Linked DNA regions of Saccharomyces cerevisiae S288C. The gene in region 1 interacts genetically with each later gene. Each region holds a gene or a part of one and is shown in the gene's direction. Other genes may lie near its edges. The genes, in order: PAU10, GIS4 and ATG20.

Region 1 (9,516 bases):
TTTTTACAGTCCATTTATTGTAACTTAGAAATCAAATTGTGCGACTGGCCATTGTTGCTGTATTTAATAATGTCGTATAACACTCTAAGATTCCGTAATGATTCAAAAGCAGAAATTCGTTGGCTCTAGAGTCTTAAACAACTTACGCAACTACATATATTCATGATTCAAACAGAATGTACCTTTAAAGGTTAGAAATACGACCTCTAATCTGCTTTAAGCAGATGATGCAAGTGCCTTCATGTGGTTAATATATGTGCTATCGTATTAAAAAAAGTTTCCCTTCTCACGTGTCAATAAAGCATCACGAAAACATTCAATACTAGTGTTTTTCGCACAGAAACTTGCCAAATAGGCACCTTTATGCAGCACAATAATTAAAAATGCCCAACGTGACACATTCCAAGGTAATTTTGAAAAATCGTAAGCGCCATTCGTGAAACAGAATAGTGTTACACCCGTGAGAGTAATAGCGAAGTCAACTTAAGCAGATATTGCTACTTTAATCCGCTTATGCTGAATCCATATTCATCTTTTATCAGCTTTGGACGAGAAATTAGTTGTCTTTTAGGCAATGTTCGTGAGTAAGTTGGAGAAAAGATCTGTTTCAAAAGAGTCAACTTGAAGTAATGTCTCAAAAAAAAAAATGATAGTATTGCTTGCTCAAGTGCTAATTATATCTTTTCCTTGACAAAAGTACAAGTTATGCGTCTCCATCGGAAGTATTTTAAGTAGAAATATTAGGTACCAAAAGAAGTAAAAAATTAAAGCTATTCTTATTGGGTCACACTGACTTAAAAATTAAAGGAAAATATTTAATTGCATGTTATTTTGTTTAACTACTATCTTACTTCCACTGGTCCACCGGACCCTCAGGCTTCCTTGCCTTGTGGAACCAGTTTTTTTCTATCGAGAGGAAATTCTCCAGTCTAGTGATATTCCATATGAGAATGGAACACAGGTAAGCAAGGCAGTGGTGCTGATTAATGCGTTGAGAGTGCCAACAGAAAGAACAGAAGCTTGTTTGGGCAGGATATGTACAAGAATGAGGAATTTTTCTTTAACAGGGCTAATTTTGTAGTTTTCTTTTGAGCGATACTTAAATAGCATTTTAGATTCAGAAAAAATGCGTTGCCTAGTTATTGAGCATTAAACTGCGCCCATAAATTCAGGAGGCACTACCAACCCCTGCCACAGAATATTTACTAGGTATAAGTGTTTAACAGTTGCAAGAACCAAGCACATAGATGAAATTATTCAACAGAAGATTCAAAACGTAAAATAAAAAATATTAGCGCCATCCACTGGCCTCTGTACTCTTTTCTTTTCTTTCTTTTTTTTTTTTAACAAGAAAAATGGTACCCGGGTATCGAAGATGTTTCATTACACAAAACCTTGGCACATGATTCAATTCACCCTAACATCAATTAACTCTATTCGAGAAACATGTGCAGCTAACTGTAGCTACCTCGTTTATATATCGCATTCATTCTTGATTGTGGTATCTAATTTCGAATGCCTTAGTGATAGTGAACGGCATCGTAAGCTTCCACGGGTAGGTACGACTCTCAGTACATCATTGCTATTTCACTTCAGCTTGGGAAAAGAAACTGTAACATTATCCCGCGGCAATCGTTTAGAGCATACTAATATAGGCTAAGACAATAGCTTCCGAACGAGGGTCCTTGAAAAAGAAATATGACAGGCACGTAAAAGGGTTCTTCGAAGGCACATGGCGCCCCTATAACGTCGATCTTACATTGCACGCATACGAATACACATTGGCGCCGCAAAACATATCTTCATATACGAAGTTTGTGACGAATTCACGAATCGTTCAAGGACAGGTGCATTTCTATAGTTACGGTGGATAAGGTGTGTTAGATGAAATATGTAGGATCTTGAGGTGAGAAAAGAGTGTCAGTCAGTGGCTCGTTTGGGCAGCACCAGCTGGTGAAGGAATTTGTATAAATAGAGCAGACTTGACCGCCTGTCTTTGTGAATATGCAGTCATTTTTTTCTTCCTAGTAGGGCTTATATCAGCACTAAAAAACAAAACAAATACAATGGTCAAATTAACTTCAATCGCCGCTGGTGTCGCTGCCATCGCTGCTACTGCTTCCGCAACCACCACTCTAGCTCAATCTGACGAAAGAGTCAACTTGGTTGAATTGGGTGTCTACGTCTCTGATATCAGAGCTCACTTGGCCCAATACTACATGTTCCAAGCCGCCCACCCAACGGAAACCTACCCAGTTGAAGTTGCTGAAGCCGTTTTCAACTACGGTGACTTCACCACCATGTTGACTGGTATTGCCCCAGACCAAGTGACCAGAATGATCACCGGTGTTCCATGGTACTCCAGCAGATTAAAGCCAGCCATCTCCAGTGCTCTATCCAAGGTCGGTATCTACACTATCGCAAACTAGAGACAAACGCCAATTTTACGAACGGGTTTCCATAGACATTGAAAATGAACGAACAAAATAAAATAAATAAAAAACTACTTTTTTTTGATGATATAAATACCGTAGATTATATAAATGTATATTAATATTATAAACCTATTTGATCAATGACAGTGTTCGTGAAGCATTTTATGAATACGATGAACATAAGAAAGAAACTTTTACACTATTGTAGAAAAAGCGTGGACGGTAATAAAGCTAACAGAGTATTTCCAATAAACAATAATGAAATTGGAAACGTATGACTTCGCAGCACTTTGTCTTTCCATAAAAATGTGTCGCTGCTTCTTTTTTCATTTTTTGGCGCGTCGCGTCGGGCCGTATAGAATATGCGTCACTTCTAAGAACAAGACTGCAGATCAGGGCAGTGCGAGTTACAAGTCATGGTACCAAACTCTCATTTGGAGATCCTCATTTTTTGACACCTAAAATATTAAGATTTATGGTTTGGGATAGTTTTTTGTAACTGTAACTAGAAATAAAGCTGAGGGGTTAGTGTTCTACCAAAACTAAGATAGAGGGTGGTAAGATGAAGTGAGATGAGACAATATCGTAATATCCGTTTAAGTATACGCCGCTGATAAGTTATAATATAGTAGGGTTATTTGAAGTTTCGTTATAACTCTACAAAAACAACGTACCTATCACCGTATCGTCTTGTTCAGATATAGTCTCTTCGTATGAGTAGTGTCACATACAAGATTAAAGATGCATCAGTTATCCTTTTAGGATATTGCGGTTAGCATATGGGAATGGAAATAGGATGCCATTGTATCATAGCACCCGCATGAGTGTGAACACACTACCGTATTATAGCTCAGTGAATAGAGAGTGTTACGACAGTGAGGTGGCATAGTATTCTAATGTAAGGTCTGTGTAAGTAAGAAATATCCTGAAATGGCATCCGTTCAAGCAAATTGCAATATTAAGGAACTTTTACGTTAGTGATACCATGATAGTGTTGCTACCACAAGTCAATATGTTTATGTATTATTGTTGAAGGATAGAATATTTTTATGTTTAGGTGATTTTGGTGGTGATTTTTCTGTAATATTGGCATAAGTGTATATAAATTGAGTGGTTAGTATACGGTGTAAAAGCGGTATAACGTATGTATTAAGAGCAGTTTTACAATATTTGGGGCCGCCGAATGAGATATAGATATTAAAATGTGGATAATCATGGGCGTTATGGGTAAATGGCACAGGGTATAGACCGCTGAGGCAAGTGCCGTGTATAATGATGTGAGTGCATTTGTACTGATTTAGTGAGAGATGGGCCATGGAGTGGAGTGGAATGTGAGAGTAGGGTAAGTTTGAGATGATATATACTGTAGCATCCGTGTGCGTATGGCATATCAGTATACAAGTGAAGGTGAGTATGGCATGTGGTGGTGGGATTAGAGTGGTAGAGTAAGTATGTGTGTATTATTTACGATCATTTGTTAGCGTTTCAATAGTGGTGGGTAGAACAATAGTATGGTGAGTAGTAGATGGGAGATGGTAGGGTAAGTGGTAGTGGAGTTGGATATGGGTAATTGGAGGGTAACGGTTATGGTGGACGGTCGGTTGGTGGTAGTACACAGGGAGATGGATGGTGGTTGGGGTGGTATAGTTGAATGAGTCAGGGTAACGAGTGGGGAGGTAGGGTAATGGAGGGTAATTTGAGAGACAGGTTGGTCAGGCTTGGCTTGTCTTAGTCTTAGGCTTAGGCTTCTCTCTGGTGTGGGTGTGTGGGTGTGTGGGTGTGGTGTGGGTGTGGGTGTGGTGTGGGTGTGGTGGGTGTGGTGTGGTGTGTGTGGGTGTGGTGTGGTGTGTATATATATGTCACTGTATTGCATGCTGGATGGTGTTAGACAAGGCCGTAGGGACATATAGCATCTAGGAAGTAACCTTGTACGAAAATAGGCAATATTTCCTGTTTAGGCGATTGTGACGCAGATTTTAGTCCAACGATCTAGCGTCAAGGAATTTTTTTATAGTGGGACATTGCACCAAGGAAGTAACTTGATACGTCGTGGGTGAATGGGTCTGTTTTCTTATTCGGCGGGGTAATACATTTTTGGGGGAAGTTTGTCTGTCTGACGCGCCATATGTAGGTACGCCAAAAAGGGCTCCTCTACTTCGAAGCGCGAGGTCGTATACCTAATAAGGAAATGTAATTTATAACTTTCTATTATATTGGTCTTTTCGAGAGCGGAAGAAGTTGTAGGCTAAGCGCAGGCTAAGCGTAGGTCCATATTTAAAGTATCCAAGAGAATATCCACGAAGCGGCTGAGCAACGAACAGAATCCTGGTTCTCCTCGACTAAGCAGATAGTTAAGATACTGTGCACCATGGAAATTGAAAACGAAAGTACGTACCGACTACTTTATTTTTGCAGGCCGGAAATCAAGCGATGAATGAGACATCCTTCTGTTTTCTATGTTGGGACAGACAGTCGCTTATCTTAGTGAGATTTCTTATTAACTGAATTTTCTTTGCTGCTGCTGGAGATTTGCACCTGCATAGCGCAGATTCTGCTTCTTCTCAATAGAGTAGCTTAATTATTACATTCTTAGATGATGATAAGACGGAAACTGGACAATCTTTTGTTTATATTGATGGATTTCTTGTCAAAAAGCATAACAATCAACATACTATTGTTAATTTCGAAACTTACAAAAATAAAATGAAAGTTTCCGATAGGCGTAAGTTTGAAAAAGCAAACTTTGACGAGTTTGAGTCGGCTCTAAATAACAAAAACGACTTGGTACATTGTCCCTCAATAACTTTATTTGAATCGATCCCCACGGAAGTGCGGTCATTCTACGAAGACGAAAAGTCTGGCCTAATCAAAGTGGTAAAATTCAGAACTGGTGCAATGGATAGGAAAAGGTCTTTTGAAAAAATTGTCATTTCCGTCATGGTCGGGAAAAATGTACAAAAGTTCCTGACATTTGTTGAAGACGAACCAGATTTCCAGGGCGGACCAATCCCTTCAAAGTATCTTATTCCCAAGAAAATCAACTTGATGGTCTACACGTTGTTTCAAGTGCATACTTTGAAATTCAATAGAAAGGATTACGATACCCTTTCTCTTTTTTACCTCAACAGAGGATACTATAATGAGTTGAGTTTCCGTGTCCTGGAACGTTGTCACGAAATAGCGAGTGCCAGGCCGAACGACAGCTCTACGATGCGTACTTTCACTGACTTTGTTTCTGGCGCACCTATTGTAAGGAGTCTTCAGAAAAGCACCATAAGGAAATATGGGTACAATTTGGCACCCTACATGTTCTTGTTACTACACGTAGATGAGCTATCGATTTTTTCTGCATACCAAGCAAGTTTACCTGGCGAAAAGAAAGTCGACACAGAGCGGCTGAAGCGTGATCTATGCCCACGTAAACCCATTGAGATAAAGTACTTTTCACAGATATGTAACGATATGATGAACAAAAAAGACCGATTGGGTGATATTTTGCATATTATCTTGCGAGCATGTGCGCTCAATTTCGGGGCGGGTCCCCGTGGTGGCGCTGGTGACGAAGAGGATCGATCTATTACGAATGAAGAACCCATTATTCCCTCTGTGGACGAGCATGGCTTGAAAGTATGTAAGTTGCGTAGTCCTAACACTCCACGAAGACTCAGAAAAACACTAGATGCCGTGAAAGCTTTATTGGTGTCGTCTTGTGCTTGTACTGCAAGGGATTTAGATATATTTGATGACACCAACGGCGTTGCAATGTGGAAATGGATCAAAATTCTGTACCACGAAGTAGCGCAGGAAACCACGCTGAAGGACTCTTATAGAATAACTTTGGTACCTTCTTCTGATGGTATATCAGTATGTGGAAAACTTTTTAATCGCGAGTATGTCCGCGGCTTTTACTTTGCATGCAAGGCTCAGTTCGATAACCTTTGGGGAGAGTTGAACAACTGCTTTTATATGCCTACAGTGGTTGATATTGCCAGCCTCATTTTGCGTAATCGAGAAGTTTTGTTCAGAGAGCCAAAGCGAGGAATTGACGAGTATCTGGAAAACGATTCTTTTCTTCAAATGATACCTGTTAAATATCGTGAAATTGTGCTGCCCAAGTTGAGAAGAGATACTAACAAAATGACCGCGGCTCTTAAAAATAAAGTCACTGTTGCAATTGACGAGCTTACGGTGCCACTTATGTGGATGGTCCATTTTGCCGTAGGATACCCTTACCGTTATCCAGAGCTTCAGCTACTCGCTTTTGCCGGTCCTCAGCGCAACGTATACGTCGATGATACAACAAGACGCATCCAACTGTACACTGATTACAACAAGAACGGTTCATCGGAGCCTCGACTTAAGACGCTTGACGGACTCACTTCAGATTACGTGTTTTATTTTGTCACTGTGCTAAGGCAAATGCAAATATGTGCGCTTGGTAACAGTTATGACGCTTTTAATCATGATCCTTGGATGGATGTGGTGGGATTTGAGGATCCAGATCAAGTAACAAATCGAGACATTTCGAGGATAGTTTTGTATTCCTACATGTTTCTGAATACCGCGAAGGGCTGTCTGGTTGAATACGCAACTTTTCGGCAGTACATGAGGGAACTTCCGAAGAATGCACCTCAGAAGCTGAATTTTCGGGAGATGCGTCAGGGGTTGATTGCCCTAGGACGGCACTGCGTAGGTAGCAGATTTGAAACAGATTTGTACGAGTCGGCGACGAGTGAACTCATGGCCAATCATTCCGTTCAAACAGGGCGAAATATTTACGGTGTGGATTCCTTTTCGTTAACTAGTGTCAGTGGGACGACCGCCACTTTATTGCAGGAACGAGCTTCCGAGCGCTGGATTCAATGGTTAGGCCTTGAAAGCGACTACCATTGTTCATTCTCTAGTACTCGGAATGCGGAAGACGTAGTGGCAGGTGAGGCGGCGAGTTCAGATCATGATCAAAAAATTTCAAGAGTAACGCGAAAAAGGCCCCGAGAGCCCAAGAGTACAAACGATATCCTCGTCGCAGGCCAGAAACTCTTTGGCAGCTCCTTTGAATTCAGGGACTTGCATCAGTTGCGCTTATGTCATGAAATATACATGGCAGACACACCCTCTGTGGCAGTACAGGCCCCACCGGGCTATGGTAAGACGGAGTTATTTCATCTCCCCTTGATAGCACTGGCGTCTAAGGGCGACGTGAAATATGTGTCGTTTCTGTTTGTACCGTACACAGTGTTGCTTGCTAATTGCATGATCAGGTTGAGCCGATGCGGTTGCTTGAATGTGGCCCCTGTAAGAAACTTTATTGAAGAAGGTTGCGATGGCGTTACTGATTTATACGTGGGGATCTACGATGATCTTGCTAGCACTAATTTCACAGACAGGATAGCTGCGTGGGAGAATATTGTTGAGTGCACCTTTAGGACCAACAACGTAAAATTGGGTTACCTCATTGTAGATGAGTTTCACAACTTTGAAACGGAGGTCTACCGGCAGTCGCAATTTGGGGGCATAACTAACCTTGATTTTGACGCTTTTGAGAAAGCAATCTTTTTGAGCGGCACAGCACCTGAGGCTGTAGCTGATGCTGCGTTGCAGCGTATTGGGCTTACGGGACTGGCCAAGAAGTCGATGGACATCAACGAGCTCAAACGGTCGGAAGATCTCAGCAGAGGTCTATCCAGCTATCCAACACGGATGTTTAATCTAATCAAGGAGAAATCCGAGGTGCCTTTAGGGCATGTTCATAAAATTTGGAAGAAAGTGGAATCACAGCCCGAAGAAGCACTGAAGCTTCTTTTAGCCCTCTTTGAAATTGAACCAGAGTCGAAGGCCATTGTAGTTGCAAGCACAACCAACGAAGTGGAAGAATTGGCCTGCTCTTGGAGAAAGTATTTTAGGGTGGTATGGATACACGGGAAGCTGGGTGCTGCAGAAAAGGTGTCTCGCACAAAGGAGTTTGTCACTGACGGTAGCATGCGAGTTCTCATCGGAACGAAATTAGTGACTGAAGGAATTGACATTAAGCAATTGATGATGGTGATCATGCTTGATAATAGACTTAATATTATTGAGCTCATTCAAGGCGTAGGGAGACTAAGAGATGGGGGCCTCTGTTATCTATTATCTAGAAAAAACAGTTGGGCGGCAAGGAATCGTAAGGGTGAATTACCACCGATTAAGGAAGGCTGTATAACCGAACAGGTACGCGAGTTCTATGGACTTGAATCAAAGAAAGGAAAAAAGGGCCAGCATGTTGGATGCTGTGGCTCCAGGACAGACCTGTCTGCTGACACAGTGGAACTGATAGAAAGAATGGACAGATTGGCTGAAAAACAGGCGACAGCTTCCATGTCGATCATTGCGTTACCGTCTAGCTTCCAGGAGAGCAATAGCAGTGACAGGTGCAGAAAGTATTGCAGCAGTGATGAGGACAGCGACACGTGCATTCATGGTAGTGCTAATGCCAGTACCAATGCGACTACCAACTCCAGCACTAATGCTACTACCACTGCCAGCACCAACGTCAGGACTAGTGCTACTACCACTGCCAGCATCAACGTCAGGACTAGTGCGATTACCACTGAAAGTACCAACTCCAGCACTAATGCTACTACCACTGCCAGCACCAACGTCAGGACTAGTGCTACTACCACTGCCAGCATCAACGTCAGGACTAGTGCGACTACCACTGAAAGTACCAACTCCAACACTAGTGCTACTACCACCGAAAGTACCGACTCCAACACTAGTGCTACTACCACCGAAAGTACCGACTCCAACACTAGTGCTACTACCACTGCTAGCACCAACTCCAGCACTAATGCCACTACCACTGCTAGCACCAACTCCAGCACTAATGCCACTACCACTGAAAGTACCAACGCTAGTGCCAAGGAGGACGCCAATAAAGATGGCAATGCTGAGGATAATAGATTCCATCCAGTCACCGACATTAACAAAGAGTCGTATAAGCGGAAAGGGAGTCAAATGGTTTTGCTAGAGAGAAAGAAACTGAAAGCACAATTTCCCAATACTTCCGAGAATATGAATGTCTTACAGTTTCTTGGATTTCGGT
Region 2 (6,696 bases), on another chromosome or scaffold:
TTCTACAGGCATGGTTTCGTCACTCATTCACGCTAACGTTGTCTACAAATTATTTGAGTAATATTGTAAAATCCTCCAGCTCCACCTCATCACCTGAAAAATCTGGAAAAAAAAAGTGCGAAGACATCAAGCAGCAAGATACTTCTCATAATGAAACCAAATAGAGTGCCTATATTAACAACATTTTCTTCATGTAAACAATATTGGCCGCGCTGATGACGAACGACATTCAAATGTCTAAAACGGCTAAACTTAGTGAATACATTTACAAATTCATTTCTGTTTCGGAGGGGTGACAGAATGACTATAAATTCCATGCTTAAGACTTATCGCCGATATAAGTAAATATTGAAATGAAAATTAATCACCATCGACCGACTAGAGTTCGCATAAGTATATTATCGTGTACGGTGTAAGAATATAAATAAATGACGAACGGTCGTCAAACTTAATGGGAGCTGAAACACAAGGATCCGAATTATGATAGGGTAGTGAATGGCGACACATAAGCGAATAAAGAGAGATCATAATGCTACTGTGTAGAAATATTGATCACTTCTCGTGGGTTCGTAAATCCTCGGGGAAAAACTACAGTATACTTTGTATTCGCAAAAATATTACCGTTCCAAATAATAGTATGCCAACGATTATCAGCAAGTTCATCTCATTCACAGTACCCAGAAATACGAAATGAACAACTTTACACAACGATGATTCCTTTTCTCATAATACTTTCATTCGATTCATCCTTATATATTACTCACACACATCAGTTGCTCCAAAATCTAATAACACTGTGATCCCTGTTCTACTACTCTACTTTAATTAATTCCATCTTTTAACAACCTATACTATGGAATATAATTGATAACGATTTTAATTTTTTGAACGAGTAGCCGATAGACCAATATTACCTGCTGTTAGAATCAAATATGAATATAGACAATGTAATTATGTAACCAGAAGGAATCACAAGAAAACAGAATACACAAATAATCAAGTTAGTATGGCAACTTGGCCGAGTGGTTAAGGCGAAAGATTAGAAATCTTTTGGGCTTTGCCCGCGCAGGTTCGAGTCCTGCAGTTGTCGTTATTTTTTGCCTCTTGATGGATTTTTAAGTTTTGCGCTCATGCTTGTTATGATAATAGGAGAGCGAAATGCGGTAATTTTGTTTACGTCCATAATCATTTTTTCGTTTTGAGATTATTTCGGATCGGCAAATGCATTTTTTTAGCTCTGGAAATGTTGTTTTCACTTTTTCGCTTGCTTATGTGCATCCTAGGACTTTAGTTCACACCATCGATTATTTCTGTTAGGTTACACAGCATCTTTTACGTAAATGGCATGTGGCGATTCGCCAACTGGTTTCTCCTCATCGTTCCTAGCGCGGGGCTGACGGCCTTCCTCTGTGTTTTCAGGTAGTATCATCGCTATCGCACTCCACCAGCTACGAAGCCGGTGCAGGCAGAAACATTACTTGCATAGTAATACACGAAATTTATTTACTTTAAACCTTTATATCGAATTTATATCCCTAAACATTGAATTCTTCTCTTTTTTTTTCTTTTTTTAATTAGTTTTTTTCCTATTGTAGTTTTTTCCATCGCAAGCTAGATAAATATCTTCAACTTATTCACTTTGGCAGGACCAGATTTAACTGACTTGTGTAGCTAAGGAACGTGAAGGCTGAACAACAGCGGGAACTAAGTGCAGAATATATCGGCAGAAGTTTTGCAGAAATAACCCCTCATTAACACTCACTCTCATCCTTCAACTGCTCGAAAGACGGTTAACAAAAACCATCAAAAAGCACTCTGTTACTTAAATATAATGCAAAAATCCGTTAGAGTGGGCGACTATTTTGACAATGATGACAATGGTTTGTGGTCGTGGTACTTAACAAACCTCAGATTAGGCGATTTTGAAGAACTTATAGGCAATCAATTAAAATACACTCTGTTAAAAAGATTTCTGAATAGTCATTTTTATGGTGATAACAATATTTCGGCCAGGCCAAACAAGAAGATTTTGTTAGTTTCCATCCCAGAGAATGTTCATGAAGATATCTCCATATTGGAAATCTTCCTCAAAGATTACTTTCATCTGGAAAAATTAGAACACATTCAAATCTCAAAATTAACTCACTCCCACTGCTACAATCATGAAAATCATTACCTATTGACGGACAACCTCAACAATTTCCAAGACCCTACCTTTTTAGAATTTGCGAGTACAAGTTGGCAAGTTCAAAAAAATTCCAAGGCTTTAAACAATAACAATAGAAATTCAATACCACCACCCACAATATCTTCATCAAAAGCTTCAAACGGGAAGCTAGAATCAAACGTTTCGGATGATCAGTGGTCAAATATAAATACCCAGACTTCAACAGCTACCCGAACTAATACGAATACGAGGACTTTGACATCTCCGGACACAGTTGATATAAACGTTACATCCGTGAATAGTCAAAGCAATAATAATGATACGCCTCAAGATAATGAAAACGAAGTTGATGAAGAGGATGCCACAAGTTCTATAGTCCTAAATTTTTCTCATTCGCGAACAGTAGATTCAAAGCCTAATAGACTACCCAAAATTTTTCCATCATACACTAATGAAGACTATACACCGTCACATTCCGAGATAATGTCAATAGATAGTTTTGCTGGCGAAGACGTATCATCCACATATCCCGGACAAGACCTGAGTTTAACTACTGCCAGGCGCGAGGATGAAAGTGGTCAGGATGAAGTTGAGGATCATTATAGCAGAGTCTCACATGATCTAGGTGACGAGAGTATCGATCAAGCAAGTTATAGCATGGAAAGTTCGGTCAGCTACACTAGCTATAGTAGTAGCAGTAATAGTAGTAGTGCCCACTACAGTTTAAGCAGTAGCAGCCGAGGTAATCCAAAACGTGAAAACATCGATCACACGAATGCCACCTATGTCTCTGAATTGTCAAGTATAACGAGTTCTATAGACAATTTAACTACTTCGACAACCCCAGAGGAGGAGGATAATTTAATTCATCATAACTATGACGCCCAAGGGTATGGATCAGGAGAGGACGATGGAGAAGAGGTTTATGATGATGAAGATCTTTCTTCTTCCGATTACTCAGTACTATCCATTCTACCGTCAATCTCAATTTGTGATTCTCTAGGGTATTTTAGGCTAGTTTTGCAATCTATATTAATTCAGGATCCAGACACCAAAGAAATTTTTACTGCGATTAGACAGTCAAACAATAAACCTACAATGGCAAGCGTTACCGATGATTGGTTGCTGTATGATTCCAATTTTTCAATGAATAATTTACAAATTCTAACACTTCAAGATTTGCTAGATATCAAGAGATCATTTCCAAAAATTTTATTTTACACAATGGTTATTGTGACAAACTCCGGCAAACAGGTTGAAGAAGAATTCAAAAATCCCAATTATGATAATAGGGAAGGAATATCAAAAGAGCAACCTCTAGATTCTGAGTTATCATTAACTAACGACCCGCAACAATATTTCCCGACTGCATATAATAACGGTTACAACGACTATATTGACGATGAAGACGATGAAGACGATGGTGACGATGCTTCTTTATCAGAACAGTCAGGCCCACAAATGTACATACCAACTAGAATGGAATCTAACGTTACTACAGCACATCGTTCTATTAGAACCGTAAACAGTATCGGGGAATGGGCATTCAATAGACATAATTCTGTTACAAAAATCGATAAAAGTAATAGTAACGAGTTGGATAACTCTAAAACAGGTGAAAGTACAGTTTTATCAAGTGAACCTCATCCAATGACACAACTGTCGAACTCTAATACGACTTCCTCGAATTTTAGCCATTCTTTGAAGACAAAAAATTCTCACAAACCTAATTCCAAGGGTAACAATGAAAGTAATTCCAAAAATGAGTTGAAAAAGATAAAGAGTTCCATCAATGCTATGAGTGCCGTGGAAAGGTCCAAAAGTTTGCCTTTACCTACATTACTAAAGTCTTTAAGCGGCATAGATAACCCTACTCATGCCACTAACAAGGATAGAAAGCGTTGGAAATTCCAGATGAATAGGTTTAAGAATCATAAAAACAGTGGTTCTGCAGGTACGGATAAATCTCAGCGTTGTGCCATCATGTAAAGAATACTTTACCACTATATATAGATATATATATATACTTGTATTATAATTATAATCATTATTGGTACTATTGCACTTACCAGTTTCTATATTGACATTGAAGGTGATACAGAGAATTCATACATAGTCTAAATATATTTAAAGTATAGGTTGTGTACATAAAAAAATACCGAGGTGATACAATCTACCTACTTTCGGCGAAAAGGCGAAGCAAGGTAAGTTAAAAAAGTTTAATTGTAACATTATAGAAAAAGTTCTTTCGGTTACCCAGTTTTCCATAAAGTTCCCGCTTTAGTTCATATGCTTATTCAAAGCTAATTGAACGTCTTCTGCATTGATGACAACCCCTCTTTCTGAACATTTTGCCTTTGCCATTAGCTCGGAACATAAACCATCGACATCAATATCTGAGTATTTCGGATGTGTTGTTATTCTATCCCAAATTTCCGAACACCTTAGTAAAGAGCCTTCCTTAGATGGAACGACATCATTATCATTATCGTTATCATTGCCATTATTGATTTTGTCAGCATTCTGTAAACTACTGCCATTTTTTTGTGAGATTTCGCTTTCATTTCCTGGTACCGATTGTAGATATTGTTTCGGAAGCTCTGGTTCTTCGTTAATTAACTGGTTCTTGATTAAACTTGACTCATCGTCTGACATATTAGCGGCTTTTTTGTCATCATCGTCATCCTCTAAAAACTCTCCAAATAAATTGTTACCTTCCTTCGATGAATCTCTAAAAAACATGTCGTAGTCAAACTTATTTTGAGATTGAGATTCAGAGAAAGGTTGTAATTGAATATTAGTTGAATTGTCGTCTGGGAAAGCCAGATTTGCGTTGATAAAAGGTATATCCTCTTTGCTGCTTTGCAGTAGGCTGGGATTGGTGTTAGAGGCAGCATTATTGCCGATGCCGGTAGATCCCGGACTAAAAAAATTAGTAACTTGGTTCATATCAAACGGTGACTCGGATATGAATGGGAGTACATCATCGCTATTATTATTGTTCTTTTTGTTCTTATTGCCAGTGCTACCAGTGCTATCAGTGCTACCAGTGCTATTATCATTCACGACGTAATGATTGGCACTCATATCGAAACCAAGTCGGCCAAAACCGGAGAAGGAATTTTCATATTTAGTAGCATCAGTAGCAATGACATTAGCAGGAGTATTATCTGTAATATTAGAATGTGATTCCCAAGTATTTGTTAAAGCAGGAGAATTTGAACTTAGTATAGAAGATGACGCGAAAACTTCTTTATCAAGAGCCGAGATGGGTTTCTTGGGAATGGGACATTGCCTTGTTCCACATACCTGGTTCATTTTCGAACAAAACTCCGAAACTTGTTCATCAAATTGGTTTTCAAAATTAAAGTCATTAGAAAACATATTACTGTCTAAATTCTTAGTTTTACTATTGCTGCCATCATCACCTGACACAAACCTGTTAGTATATATTACATTATCTAACCAATCCATCGAAGTGGAGGAGTTTGGTGTGTTATTAAGAACATCGTTACTATTTGAAAGGGAATCCAAAGTAGCGCTGGAGGAATCTGTAGCGTCACTTAATTTCTTTTGTGTCTGATTTATAGGCATAGGAGCCGAATGACTTGGATCATTTGGTGAAGGTAATTGTTTCCCCACATTTTTACTGTTGTCGTTGTCGTTGTCGTTATCAAGCGGATATTGAAACGTGAAATTCATCTTTTGTTTAACATTTTCTTGTATGTCATCATTGGGTGTGTCAATTGGCTCGCTATTGCTGTGGTTAACGTTATTTTTTGAAAAATGCAAATTAGGATCTCGCCTTGCTAAATATTCCAGCACTTTTGAGTCATTTCTTGTCTCTGGTCTATATTTTTTTAACTCATTCACCAGAGTGATTAACTGGTCCCTCAAAAAAGTAGCTTCCACTTCATTTTGCTGCTGAATACTCTCTAAACTTTGTACCTTCTTCTCCAATTCCTTCATCTTCCTCTCCTTACGTTCCCTAAAAGCTCTTTGAGCGGCCCGATTTTGGGCAGTCCTCTTCTGCTTAGTTTCAGGATCCAAATCTTGCTTTTTGCTAGTTTTGCTACCCTTCTTCTTCGGTTGCTCGCTATCCTCGCCATCACGTGTACCAGTACGTCTATGTTCATTTTCTATTTCATCGTGACGAGATTTTGAACCCTCAAACTCCGCTAATGAACCCGGAGAAACGACATCCAGCGACCTCTTGGCGGTAGACACACTCATGGTTTAAGAAACAACTTTTCCTTCTTTAAACGTTTTGGGTGGCAAAAAACTTCCCTTAAACAAACTAAAAATGGCTCGTGTTCATGCACAAGTCAACCAGGGGCTCAGGAAAAAAAGCTAAACACCAATCCTATATATAACGTAAAGGTACTGTGCTTAATCGGTAAACGGAAGACTATTAAGCAAATGTATCTCTTAAGACCTTACGCATCCATCAGTTGCCACCCTCCTACTCTTCATCGGAGGGTTTCCGGTTCCCATGACAAAGACGGCGCTTTGGCGGGGCCCAAATTGTT
Region 3 (12,199 bases), 1.3 Mb from region 1:
TTACTGCGCATCATTTTCACGTCATACTCTTTGTCTCTCTGTTCTATCTCTTCGTATAAATATTTCAATAACTCCATTTGTCTATTCTATCTACCCGTTCTATCCTTACTACTAGATATCTTAAAGAAATAATAAAATAAGTAAATACAAAAAAAACTCGCTATTAATAATTTATCTCCGAAAGCCCTAGGGTGTGCTTTTCTTCCGTGCCCTAGTCTATTATTTTGAACCCTAGTTGGCGAAATTTTTTTCTAATATTCAGAAAAAAGAAACGTAGAGCTTATATGGTGAAGGAGTACAATGATACTAATAGTCTGTAGACGGCAAAAGGCATTCTTTTTGACTAGCACAACGACAGTTTGAGATTCTGTTGAAATAATCATTTATGTCTCTTTCGGTCGCCGAAAAGTCGTACCTATACGATTCACTAGCAAGCACGCCTTCAATTAGGCCCGATGGAAGACTACCTCATCAATTCAGACCTATAGAAATATTTACTGACTTCCTACCAAGTTCCAATGGATCGTCCAGAATTATAGCTAGTGATGGAAGTGAATGTATCGTGAGCATTAAGTCCAAAGTTGTGGATCATCATGTGGAGAATGAACTACTTCAGGTCGATGTAGATATCGCAGGCCAAAGAGATGACGCGCTGGTAGTAGAGACAATCACTTCTTTACTGAACAAGGTTTTGAAGTCTGGTAGCGGAGTAGATTCCTCAAAGTTGCAATTGACAAAAAAGTACAGCTTCAAAATATTTGTCGATGTTCTGGTCATTTCATCACATTCACACCCAGTTTCTTTAATATCCTTTGCTATTTATTCAGCGTTGAACTCCACATACCTACCGAAACTTATTTCAGCTTTTGACGACTTAGAGGTGGAAGAACTTCCTACGTTTCATGATTACGACATGGTTAAGCTTGACATTAATCCGCCTTTAGTGTTTATATTGGCCGTTGTAGGCAACAATATGCTATTGGACCCTGCAGCCAACGAAAGCGAAGTGGCCAATAATGGCCTAATCATTTCCTGGTCTAATGGTAAGATTACATCACCTATCAGATCAGTAGCATTGAATGATTCAAACGTTAAAAGCTTTAAACCTCATTTGTTGAAGCAAGGTCTTGCAATGGTGGAGAAATACGCCCCCGACGTAGTACGATCACTGGAGAATTTATAAAAATATAGTCACAATTAGATAAAAAGACAAATTAGTTTACATACTAAAAACTTCATGGTTAACAAAAGTGGGAATGAAACCTGATTCTTACATGTGTTGAACTGTATAGGAATGAACGATAACTGCGGTTGCCGTTTGAATATTCATTGATCTGATCACACCAAATTGTTGAATCTCTAAACATAAATCCAATTCGCTTAACAAAGTCCCCGGAATACCGAATGCTTCGGTTCCTAGCAAGATCAATGATTTTTTAGGGAATTGGAAATTGTTGTCTAGCTTCACTGATTTATCCGTTTGCTCTAGCCCAATTAATGTGTACCCTTCCTTCTTTTTCTCTTTCATGAAACTTGCAATCTCATCTAGGGCAACTTCCTCCATGGGCATCCATCTATCAGCAGTCACAGCAACATTTTTAAATTGAGGATGGTTTTTGACTTTGATGTCTTGTACAGTAAGCAGTCCCACACCTAAAACATCACATAACCTACAAATACCTCCCAGGTTTGGCGGCTTATCAACTAATGAAGATACCACAATCAATTCAGAACGTGTAACGACATCATTCGATTTTTTATTGTCCAGATCCAGAACGGTTTCCCAAGCTCCACTTTTTGTTTGCAGTGGAGAAGTGTCACAGGAGATGTTCGCGTTGTTAACAGATTCCGTATTGGTGTCTCTTTTATCAAGCCATAAGGACCTTTCATCGGTACCTATAGGAACAATATCTTTCTCCTGCAAATATTTTTCGAAAACAGACTCAGAAATGTACGGGCAATCATGGTCGGTAACTTTTTTGAGCACACCACCAAACATGTTCGTTAATTTCCTATCACCCTTCAGATCCCATATGTTGGCATCCCCGGCACGATATTGACCAAATATTTGAGTCTTTTTGGCATTGGAATATAAGTTCTCAATGATGTTTCTCAGTGTGTGATCCGATAGGTAGGCTTTGAATGTAGGCCATAATGAAATTATTAGAGAATTAGAAAAATGCCTTACCAGAGGTTTGTTTGAAGCTGCGTTAGGAACTAACGTGCAAATGAATCTGTCTAGTAACTGTGTAAATCCATATTTCTTTTCGTCGTTTCTTAAATCTTTCAACACCATAAAGCATATTTTTTCTGCGCTAACTACAAACACCGGTTTGCTATGATCCTCCAGCAATGAGAAGAGATAATCCTCAGCAAATTTTGGATTGCCAGTTTTATAATAATCAACAACCTTTGAGGAAATGAACCATTCTTTATATACTCTTACTAGTGGTGAACTTTCATCCTCGATACTCTTTAGAATTCTGATCATGCTAGTTTCGCTTAATTTTTTTTCATTGGTGGTTAGTAGTGATAATAATAACAATTGCCACTGCAACAACCTCTGTAACGCTTCGGCACCGTCGGTTCTCTTTATAGCATAAAGTGCGTTTGTTTTTTCAGTAACTTTTTCGATTAATCGAATTTTCAACTGATCATTTGCATATAAAATAGAATCAATAATAGATACTCTAGCCAATATTTCGTCGGGTCCGTACACCTTTTCATAAAGTTCATCGCCTTTTATGTAATAATTGTTCAGTTTGTGGTCAAATAGGCTGGAAATAACAGGTTTGAGCTTGTAAAGGTTGACATCCATTTGCGGCTGTTTGAAAACACCTACTATAATGTTAATCAACCACCAATAGTTGACATCTTCTCTTAACAATTTCCCATAAAACTTCATAAATACTCTGAGTTGTGATCCGAGAAGAGGGAGTAGGCTTCTTCTGGAATAACTCAATGATATAATCGTTTGTGCATGTTCCTCCAACTTCGAGGTCAAAGTATCGATATACTGATTTGATCCAAAGTACAGGATCACAGGATGAAATAATCCCTTAATTAGCATCAAATGCAGATCCCTTTCCTTCAAAACTAATCTTTCACTATTAATACATTCCCATATAAACGAAAATTTCTCAAAAATGAATTTCACTATGAAAATATCATCATCAGAAACAGATGTGGAGCAATGGATGTAGGAATCTATGATAAAGTACAATAATTTACAGACTGCCAGGTTCCCCAGATAATTCCCATTATCTTTGTTAATATTCTCGTCAACTAAGCGTAGTAGTATGTGAAGCTCATCATCATTTCCTTCAGAAGAGTCACGATTTAAGGCGTATGTTTTCAGGAAGGTATTTAAAAGTTCAAAGTAAGAAGAATAAGCGCTGTCCTTCACTTTAAAGCTCTCTCTTGAACACTGATTGGCAGACTTTTTAACCATTTCATATAGGCTCAGAAGGTCATTAAAATTTAGCTCGATTGTATCGAACCTACATTCATAAGTCTTCTGGTAAATTTCAGCAAAGAACTTGAATTTATCAAGCGAAAATTTTTCCATTACCGACTTAAATAAATTATTCACATTGATGGATTTCCATGTAGATATTGTAAAATTTGGGTAAGACAACAAAGCGGTTGCATTTTCATAGGTATAACCGTTCGAAGGTTCGCCTGAAAGTAGCTGAGTTAGAAAAGTAACTGCCTTTGAAGTGTAAACGGGTATATCTTGCTTCGACTTCGCAACTTCAATTAAAAAATCGGGAGTAATATCAATATCCTTGAAATCGAAGATGATAGATGCTAAGAGGTCAAAAATAGTATCCTTTCCGATGTTTGTCGTCAAGTTTTCTTTCGCTTGCAAATCGTCAAAGTGAGAAACGGCAAGATCCCTATAATCTTCAAAAAGAGGCTCAACATATTTGTATGTCCCTCCCTTTAACTTAATGTGTGAAACTAATGTAAACAATAATTCAGATGCGGAGACAGATGGATCAATGTACAGTAAGAACTTCAAGTAAATTGTTTGGATTGTAGTTTCGAGAACCTCTTCTTCGGCTGCAAAATCGTACAATTTCCTGATCAGACTCAAATGGTCAGAGTTGATTGTTTTCTGTTTGTTATTCTGGAAGAAAACTAAGATACCGTAGGACAAGTATATCCTAGAAGGGTCAAAAGAGGTCCCTTTTTCCACCAATAATTTCAAAATTTCAAATAATATATCTGATATGCCTTCTGTTGTTTGGGAAAGTAAGTTATTGACAAATAATGAAAGTTTTTCACCATGGGGACAACTGACACCTTTTACATCAAAATAATGAGCGGACATTGCAGCTGGAAGAAGAGTTTTTGTCAATAATGGCAAGTTTGAAGAGAATGCTGACATATTTGTAATCGAGAACATTAACGTCATCATGTATTTTCTGACACTCTCCATTGATGATTTCAATCCCGTAGAAAGCAAGATAAGGCCCCAACTATGGTGTAAATGCTCGTTATCAAAAATTTTTATTATATCTTGTTTGGCCGCTTGTATTTGATTCAATGATGTGTCCAGAGCAATCATTTCATATAAGGTGGTGAATTTCTTCCAGCTACCCAGCATCTCGATATTTGCTAGATCATTGCATTTATAAAATGTTGTTTGCAATGTTATACCATGAGATGACAGTTTTTGAATTGTTAATTTAAGAATTGAGAGTGCCAATTTTCTGTGTTCGTGCACATCATTATCCAGCTCTGTTTGAATGTGCCTCCAATAAGCATCGGTCTTTATATAAGTAATAAGTTCAGGAGACAACTCTGCTGCTAAAAGGAATCTTAGGAGAAAAGATAAACTGTTCTTTTGCTTCCAAGCTTGTTGGGAGCCTTCAGCGTACAATTGTTTGATAAATGTCCAAATGAGCTTATCAAAGTTACTATCGGTATTGCAGCATTTCGATAAATATTTGATATGCCATCTCATTAACTTGGAGCAGGAATCAGCAATCTCTTCCGAATTACAGCCTAACAATGGAACAATGATAAAATCTAGGCATTTGGACGATATACCATTCTTACATTCGTCAAATAAATATACAACTTCTAAGTAGTGAAGCAGGCTAAGGATATCTAAGTGCAGATTTTCATGCTTGATATTAGCGTTTTGTTCCTCAGCAAAAGAATCGAAAAATGGTTGTACAATCTTTTTTCCAAAGTTGTCATTGAAGAGATGTTTATAGTTTTCGCTAATGATGTCATTTAACCGGTAGCTCATCCACACCTGAAATTTATGCCATACACTGGGTAAACAACATAGTAATTGTGCAGAAGTTCTTAGCGCCTTGTTCATTTCAGCCCTCGAAGAGCGAAACATTTCCCTGGCTTCACCGTCTATACTAGCATACGCAATGACCTGCTCAGTAATTTTTTCAAAGATTGGTGTTTCAATGTTGCTGTCCGTCGTTATATCCAGTGGCGAAGTTTCAATCAACTCCAGCACCTCTTCTAAGCTGTCATTCTGAATCAAGTCTGATATAAGCTTTAGTTGCTCTTCGCGTGGTAAATATTTGCAGATGAGAGCACCTCCAACCATTTTGCTGGTAAAAAAAAGGTATAGAGTTTGTAACGTTCGTTAAACAATTCTTTTCACCGGATTTTAATAAGGCTTGGCTTATTTGCTTACTAGCAATTATATAGTTACAATAGTGCTGTTTCAATCTTGCTCATCGCCATGGTGAAACTTTTCGAAAAACACTTGAATTTTCATTCACGTGATCTACATTCCCTTACCCGACAACTCACCCATTGTGCCCCCTTTAAGATATGGCTATTGAGTAAGCCAATATTTATCGATTTACAGCAAGTCATCTCCAAAATGAAGAGATGACTAGCTCGAATACTGGTGGTGCAATTGAACATACCATCTAGAAAAGTTGTCTTCTACAGCACACAATGTCAGACTTAAATGATGTCCAAGAAAATGCTAAATTGAATTCGGAAACTCGGAATACAGGAAAGGCTGAACCACCTCATGGGACAACTGAGTATGTGGCAGAGGCAGAAATTTCTAAGAATGGAGTTGGATCGCCAAAAAAGAGCCCAAAAAAGGGTAAGGTTGGAAAGGGGGACAATAACAAAGTAGAAACTGAGTTAGTACACACAGCCCTGTTAGAAAAAGACAACCCATTCATGGAGGAGGGGCCAACAGGATTCACAAAATCAGCTTTATTAGAAATACCCGGTATGAGAAGCCATAACCTAAAGAACCCGAATGAAGATTACGAGGATGACTCTGAGGGATTATTGCCTTTAAACCAAGAATCGAATGCAGAAACATGTAGAACAAGTCTTAGTGGAAGTATTAACTCCATGAACGGAGAGACCTCTGCGTCAGAAGAACCTTCTGTAAGTAATAGAAAGAAGTCCGCTAGGATACACATACTTGAAGCGAAAAGAGTTTCCGAAGGTCAAGGAAGAGCCTACATCGCCTATGTTATTCAGTTTGAAAATTCTACCGTTCAGAGACGTTACAGCGATTTCGAGAGTTTGAGAAGTATCTTGATAAGATTGTTTCCTATGACGTTGATACCGCCGATTCCAGAAAAGCAGTCAATAAAGAATTATGGTAAGTCAATAACTGGTTCGAGTTCAAAGTATTTGCTGCCCTCAGAAGGTTCTGGTTCAGTAGATCTATCATTGTCTGTGATACATGCGTCGGTCAATAATAGTGATGAAAAGTTAATACGGCATAGGATAAGAATGCTCACTGAGTTCTTGAACAAACTTTTGACGAACGAAGAAATCACAAAAACATCTATAATTACCGATTTTTTGGATCCTAATAACCATAATTGGCATGAATTTGTTAACAGTTCGTCCACTTTTTCATCTTTACCGAAGAGCATCCTCCAGTGTAATCCACTAGATCCCACTAACACCACTAGAATTCATGCCATGTTACCAATACCGGGCTCCTCGTCACAGTTATTGTTGAATAAGGAGTCCAACGACAAAAAAATGGATAAGGAAAGAAGTAAGTCGTTTACTAATATTGAACAGGATTACAAGCAATATGAGAACTTGTTAGATAACGGGATTTATAAGTATAATAGACGAACCACGAAGACTTATCACGATTTGAAATCGGATTACAATGAAATCGGTGAGGTATTTGCACAGTTTGCCCATGAACAGGCTCAAGTTGGGGAATTGGCCGAACAGCTTTCTTACTTAAGCAATGCCTTTTCGGGGTCCTCGATTTCTTTAGAAAAATTAGTTGGAAGACTATACTACAATATAAATGAGCCTTTAAATGAATCTGTTCATATGGCAACTTCTGCAAGAGAATTGATCAAATACAGAAAATTGAAATACCTGCAAAATGAAATGATTAAAAAGTCTCTGAATTCCAAAAGAGCACAGTTGGAGAAGCTGGAAGCGCAAAACAATGAATATAAGGATGTTGACAAAATAATTGACAACGAAATGTCTAAAAGTCATACTATTAATCTGGAACGCCCTAATAATAATACAGGTAGCGGTGGGAAATCATATGGTGGCAAACTATTCAATGGATTTAACAAATTGGCATCAATGGTAAAAGATTCTGTGAAGTATCAAGAAACAGATCCGCATACCGCAAGTATCAATTTGAAGAAAGAAATTGAACAACTGTCTGAATCATTGGAAGTTACTGAGAATGATTTGGAGGTCATTTCAAAAGTCATCAAAAATGACCAGCTACCTAAATTTTCTAAAGAAAGGGAAGTAGATTTATCAGAAATTTTAAAGCATTATTCCAGATATATGAGAAATTATGCCCGTCAAAATTTAGAAATTTGGAAAGAAGTCAAAAGACATCAAGATTTTGCATAGTATTATGAGCATTTTTTTTTAGCGTTATAGCATACTTGATATATATATATATAAACAACGTGAAGATCAAATAACGTCAAATGTATTAAATAGACTAAAATATTATGCACTTCTCTTCGGATTTATTGCTCGCGGGCTGGTTGACGTTACATGGTCCATTCCACTGAAATGTTTTAAGAGATGCCTATATGGCCAACTCAAAGTTTTGAAAAAGGGAACTAGGTTCACATAATATGGGGCATTTAGTGTTTGCAGATGATTATGCTCCATCGCAGAGATTATCGCTAGTGCCAGTTGGGAAGGTATGATGTCAGGAGCCAATAACTTAGATGGTGTAGGGACATCAATAAACATATTAGTTTTGATTTTTCCCGGGCACACCAGTAGTGTTTTTATTCCAGTTTTATTACATTCCGTGGACAAACTTCTGAAATGCCTGCTCATACACTTGTGAAAACCAATCATTGCTCCTTTTGATGCACCATACGATGTCAGCCTTGCAGGAGTCAGTTCTCCGAGGACTGAAGCAATGTTAATTATAAAGCCTTCCCTATTGTCTATCATATCTTCTGCAAATGTACTGATGATTCGGTAAGCACCTATTAAGTTTATGTCGATCAATTGTTCTACCTCCTTGTTTGTCATATGTTCTAACTTTTTGATGTGAGCAACACCAGCATTATTTATAATTATATTAATGTTGCCATGATCTCTTTCAATAGCTTTTTTCAAATTTTTAATTTCATCTAGACTTGTTATGTCGCATTGATAGTAGAAAATGTTATTATATTCTACCTGAGCAAAAGTAGGAAATGATTGAATATCTGCCACAATAACTTTATTAATTCTTCTGGAAAGTTCCTTTGCAAGTTCAAATCCGAGTCCACTAGAACCACCGGTTATTAGTGCAGTTGCATTTTTAGAAAGGATGGAAGGGTTGTAGCTGGGCAGACTTAGGATGACTGATGGAAAATCCTTGAGGTGTTTTGTAGTTCCACTCGCTCTATTTATTTTATTCTTGCGTACCATAATTAATAATATTTCTTACCCATAAAACTATGTTAAATATGTCACTGAATCTCTATTGAGGTGTCCTTTTGATGATGCGGTTTCAGATATGAGAAATGTTCATTCAAGAAGTGTCACAAATTCTGTTCCTCTGCTGACGCCCGCTACATATTGACGTTCAAAAATATAGAAGAAAAAGGCAGTAAAGCGTTAACATAAGAAAACTAAAGAGCAAGTCTGATTTGGCACTACCACGCTTCCAACAGAAGTAATTGTTGCTTCAAATAAGTTCGCAGCATGTGGATTCAAGTCCACAGATGCGATATTTAGGAGCCCAATCAGATAATATTGATTCCGGGTTATCTCTTGTTTGTGTCGGCACAGGGGATTTAAATTGTGTAATGCTCAAGACAAGTTATTGATGAGAACAAGAGATGGTATATAAAACTGCTCTCTGAGGTATAGCTTTTGTTGAGGTAGGCATACAAGATTTCGGGAATGAGCACTATTAGTACCACAACGGCACCTGAGTTTATCAGAGTAAAGAGAAGAAGGGATGAGGATTCTGTGCAGGCATTATGTATGTGTTGTTATTCTACCGATATAACAAAAATGCGTTTGACTAACTAAGTTCATCTGGGACAATTCAGTAATTGATGAGGGGAAAAGAGTGAAGAAGCAGAAGTTCATATTTAAATTATCAAAGACTGTGAGCTCTGAAAGCTATCAATCCGAGCAAGAGTCTTCTACGCCACTCTTAAAACTGGCTCATGAAGATCATCGACATTTTGTATTGGAACAAAGAAAAAAAAGTCGTAGAGACTCAGATGATGAAAAATCACAACAGCGGCTTGCAGCAGAAGGAAGTACTGTAGATGACGATGGGTTACCGCCAGAGATCAATCAAATGGTGAATGACTATTTAAAGTTGAATAAAGGTGTAGAAAAGACAGAAAGAAAAAAACCAAGTAGGAAATATTTTACTGGGGATTCTGCAAAAATTGCATCACTACCCAGTTTAGATTACGTTTTTGACATCTACCATTTGGAGAAAATTCATGACGATGAGGTTGCTAGATATAACAACGAGAAAAATATAGGGTTTGTGAAAATTATTGAGCATATAGATTTGGCTCTTGATGAAGAAAGTGATCCCAATGAAGCCCGTTCAGACGATGAGGATTCTAATGACGAAAACTATTACCAAAATGATTATCCGGAGGATGAAGATGATGATAGATCTATTCTATTTGGTAGCGAAGGAGAGGATATAGCTGCATTGGGTGAAGAGATTGTTATAGGGGTTAATAAGAGCAGGTTTTCCTCTTGGAATGACGATAAAATTCAGGGATCTAATGGGTACCACGATGTGGAGGAAGAGTACGGGGATCTTTTTAACAGGCTTGGAGGAAAAAGTGATGTCTTGAAATCCATAAATTCCTCGAATTTCATTGACTTGGATGGCCAAGAAGGTGAAATAGAGATAAGTGATAACGAAGATGATTCTGATGAAGGAGATGATATTGAATACCCTAGAAATGAATTTTTTCCGACGGATGTTGATGACCCATTGGCGCATCATAGGGACAGAATTTTTCATCAGCTACAGAAAAAAATTAATAGAAGCTAAATTTGCCGTCAGAAACTGTTCAATGTATGTAAGTAACTGCATCTGTAATTTTATCTTTAGATAGTAGAAAATTCATGTTTAACCGCTTTTTCACTTCATGAACTTTTTTTTCTCCGGTGTGGAAACACAAAGATTCAAAGCAAAACTATAAAAAATCACGTCAATTACTTCTGAAATAGATAGAAGAAATGCATAAAATTATTGCTGTTTACTTAAAATATAAACTTATTCTGCAATACATTAATTGATCAGTTCGAAAGGGTTGCTGTGCGAGCAACGAGATCCAGATACTCTTTTAACTTTCCACTAGATTGGAATAATAAATAAATCTTGTCGTTCTCATTAGCGACCAATGAGGTAAATGCCAGGGCTTCCGAAATAAATTTTGGGATCTTTAACAACTTTGCGGCTTCCACTAACTTTTTATGCAATTCCATCAGTAGAAATGGAGTATATAGGGCTCTAATCTCATACAGGATTTCATAATCTGCCGAATCCGCGAAATTAGAGGAAGTTAAATCTACTAAAAATGTCTTGATCAATTCAAATGTATCCTTTGAAAAACCTTGCAATTTCTCTATTAAAGTAGGAATGTTCGATTCAGAGCTTAACAAGCTAACGGATTTTTGCCATTCTTCATATTCTCTTATGCCCTTTATCAAATGCTCATATTGAGTTATTTCTTCCAAAAACTGATCTTCATTTTCATCCTTTGATATGTTATCGGCTATTTTCTCTAATTCATAATTCTTGCATATTTCTCCAATATTATTTCTCTCCATAAATTGTTCGAGAGCCTTTACGCGGCCATTTAACAAAAATCTCCTCGATAAGGCAATGATAGAGTGGACAGCGTCCACATAAAGCTTCCCTTCAATAAGCCATTCCACGCCATATATTAAGTGCATATCAATGTTGTTTACATCGAAAGATATGGAAATTTCGTTAGATGGTGAATATTCTTGTTCGGTTTCATCGAAAACACGCTGTGTGGTTCTTCTCAAAATATTTGAGGCAGGTAATCTTAGAAAGTTTATTGTCTCAATTTGCTTTTTCCTTACTTGGGGGTCCTCTAAAGAAGACAATATGAAAGAGCATGCCTCTAAGCAGTCTGACTCATTCAGGAAAGTAGCATATATTGGAATATTTTCATAAAGGCCTTGCAATTTCAGAAGACTGATATACGTAGTAATGAGCTTGGACTTATCAACCTCTTCAACAGAACCTGGATTAATTATATCAAGGCAAATGGCTAAATGTGTAACTATCCTCAGAAGATAAGGCTTATCTATAATATCGTTACTAGCTTCGGTTCCCTTGACGACATCAAGCAACATTTCCACGGATGAATGAATAACTGATGGCAAAGAATCTAGTATGACAGATGCCATTAAAACTCTGATTGGATGTTCACTTTCTGAGGGATGCCTTGAAGCCACTCTATTAAGCACCTCTTGTACAGTTAGCGCGTGTGAAGGTAATGGTAAAATCAGTTCATCAGTACCTACTTGATTGTTTTCCAAAAGATAATTTTCAATTTCAGTTTGTAAAATTTGATTTAAGTGTATGTGCAGATCAGACTCCCAATCCGAATATTGCAGAACTTCTTGGTTGGGAATAGCGCCACTCAAATAGCTGTATATCGCCCTTTCATAAGGGTCCAAACCGGCCTGCTGCGAAAGGCTGTAAACTGTTCTT

The links.
Region 2: mutations in PAU10 (region 1) and GIS4 together harm fitness more than expected from each alone (negative genetic interaction), as found in Saccharomyces cerevisiae (2 studies listed by BioGRID).
Region 3: mutations in PAU10 (region 1) and ATG20 together harm fitness more than expected from each alone (negative genetic interaction), as found in Saccharomyces cerevisiae (2 studies listed by BioGRID).

What each region holds. Positions count from the first base shown.
Region 1 is NC_001136.10:1,521,183-1,530,698, forward strand, and holds PAU10 (seripauperin PAU10), read left to right. Parts: upstream 1-2,066; coding exon 2,067-2,429; downstream 2,430-9,516. Other genes in the region: YRF1-1 (Y' element ATP-dependent helicase protein 1 copy 1), read left to right, coding at 5,139-9,516.
Region 2 is NC_001145.3:253,552-260,247, reverse strand, and holds GIS4 (Gis4p), read left to right. Parts: upstream 1-1,831; coding exon 1,832-4,156; downstream 4,157-6,696. Other genes in the region: TRM12 (tRNA(Phe) (4-demethylwyosine(37)-C(7)) aminocarboxypropyltransferase), read right to left, coding at 1-27; DNA-binding transcription factor YAP1, read right to left, coding at 4,448-6,400.
Region 3 is NC_001136.10:252,297-264,495, reverse strand, and holds ATG20 (Atg20p), read left to right. Parts: upstream 1-5,940; coding exon 5,941-7,863; downstream 7,864-12,199. Other genes in the region: exosome non-catalytic core subunit RRP42, read left to right, coding at 386-1,183; TRM3 (tRNA (guanosine(18)-2'-O)-methyltransferase), read right to left, coding at 1,271-5,581; YDL114W (short-chain dehydrogenase/reductase), read right to left, coding at 7,966-8,892; IWR1 (Iwr1p), read left to right, coding at 9,370-9,451, 9,522-10,501; NUP84 (Nup84p), read right to left, coding at 10,750-12,199. UniProt on the Saccharomyces cerevisiae protein: Required for cytoplasm to vacuole transport (Cvt), pexophagy and mitophagy. Also involved in endoplasmic reticulum-specific autophagic process and is essential for the survival of cells subjected to severe ER stress.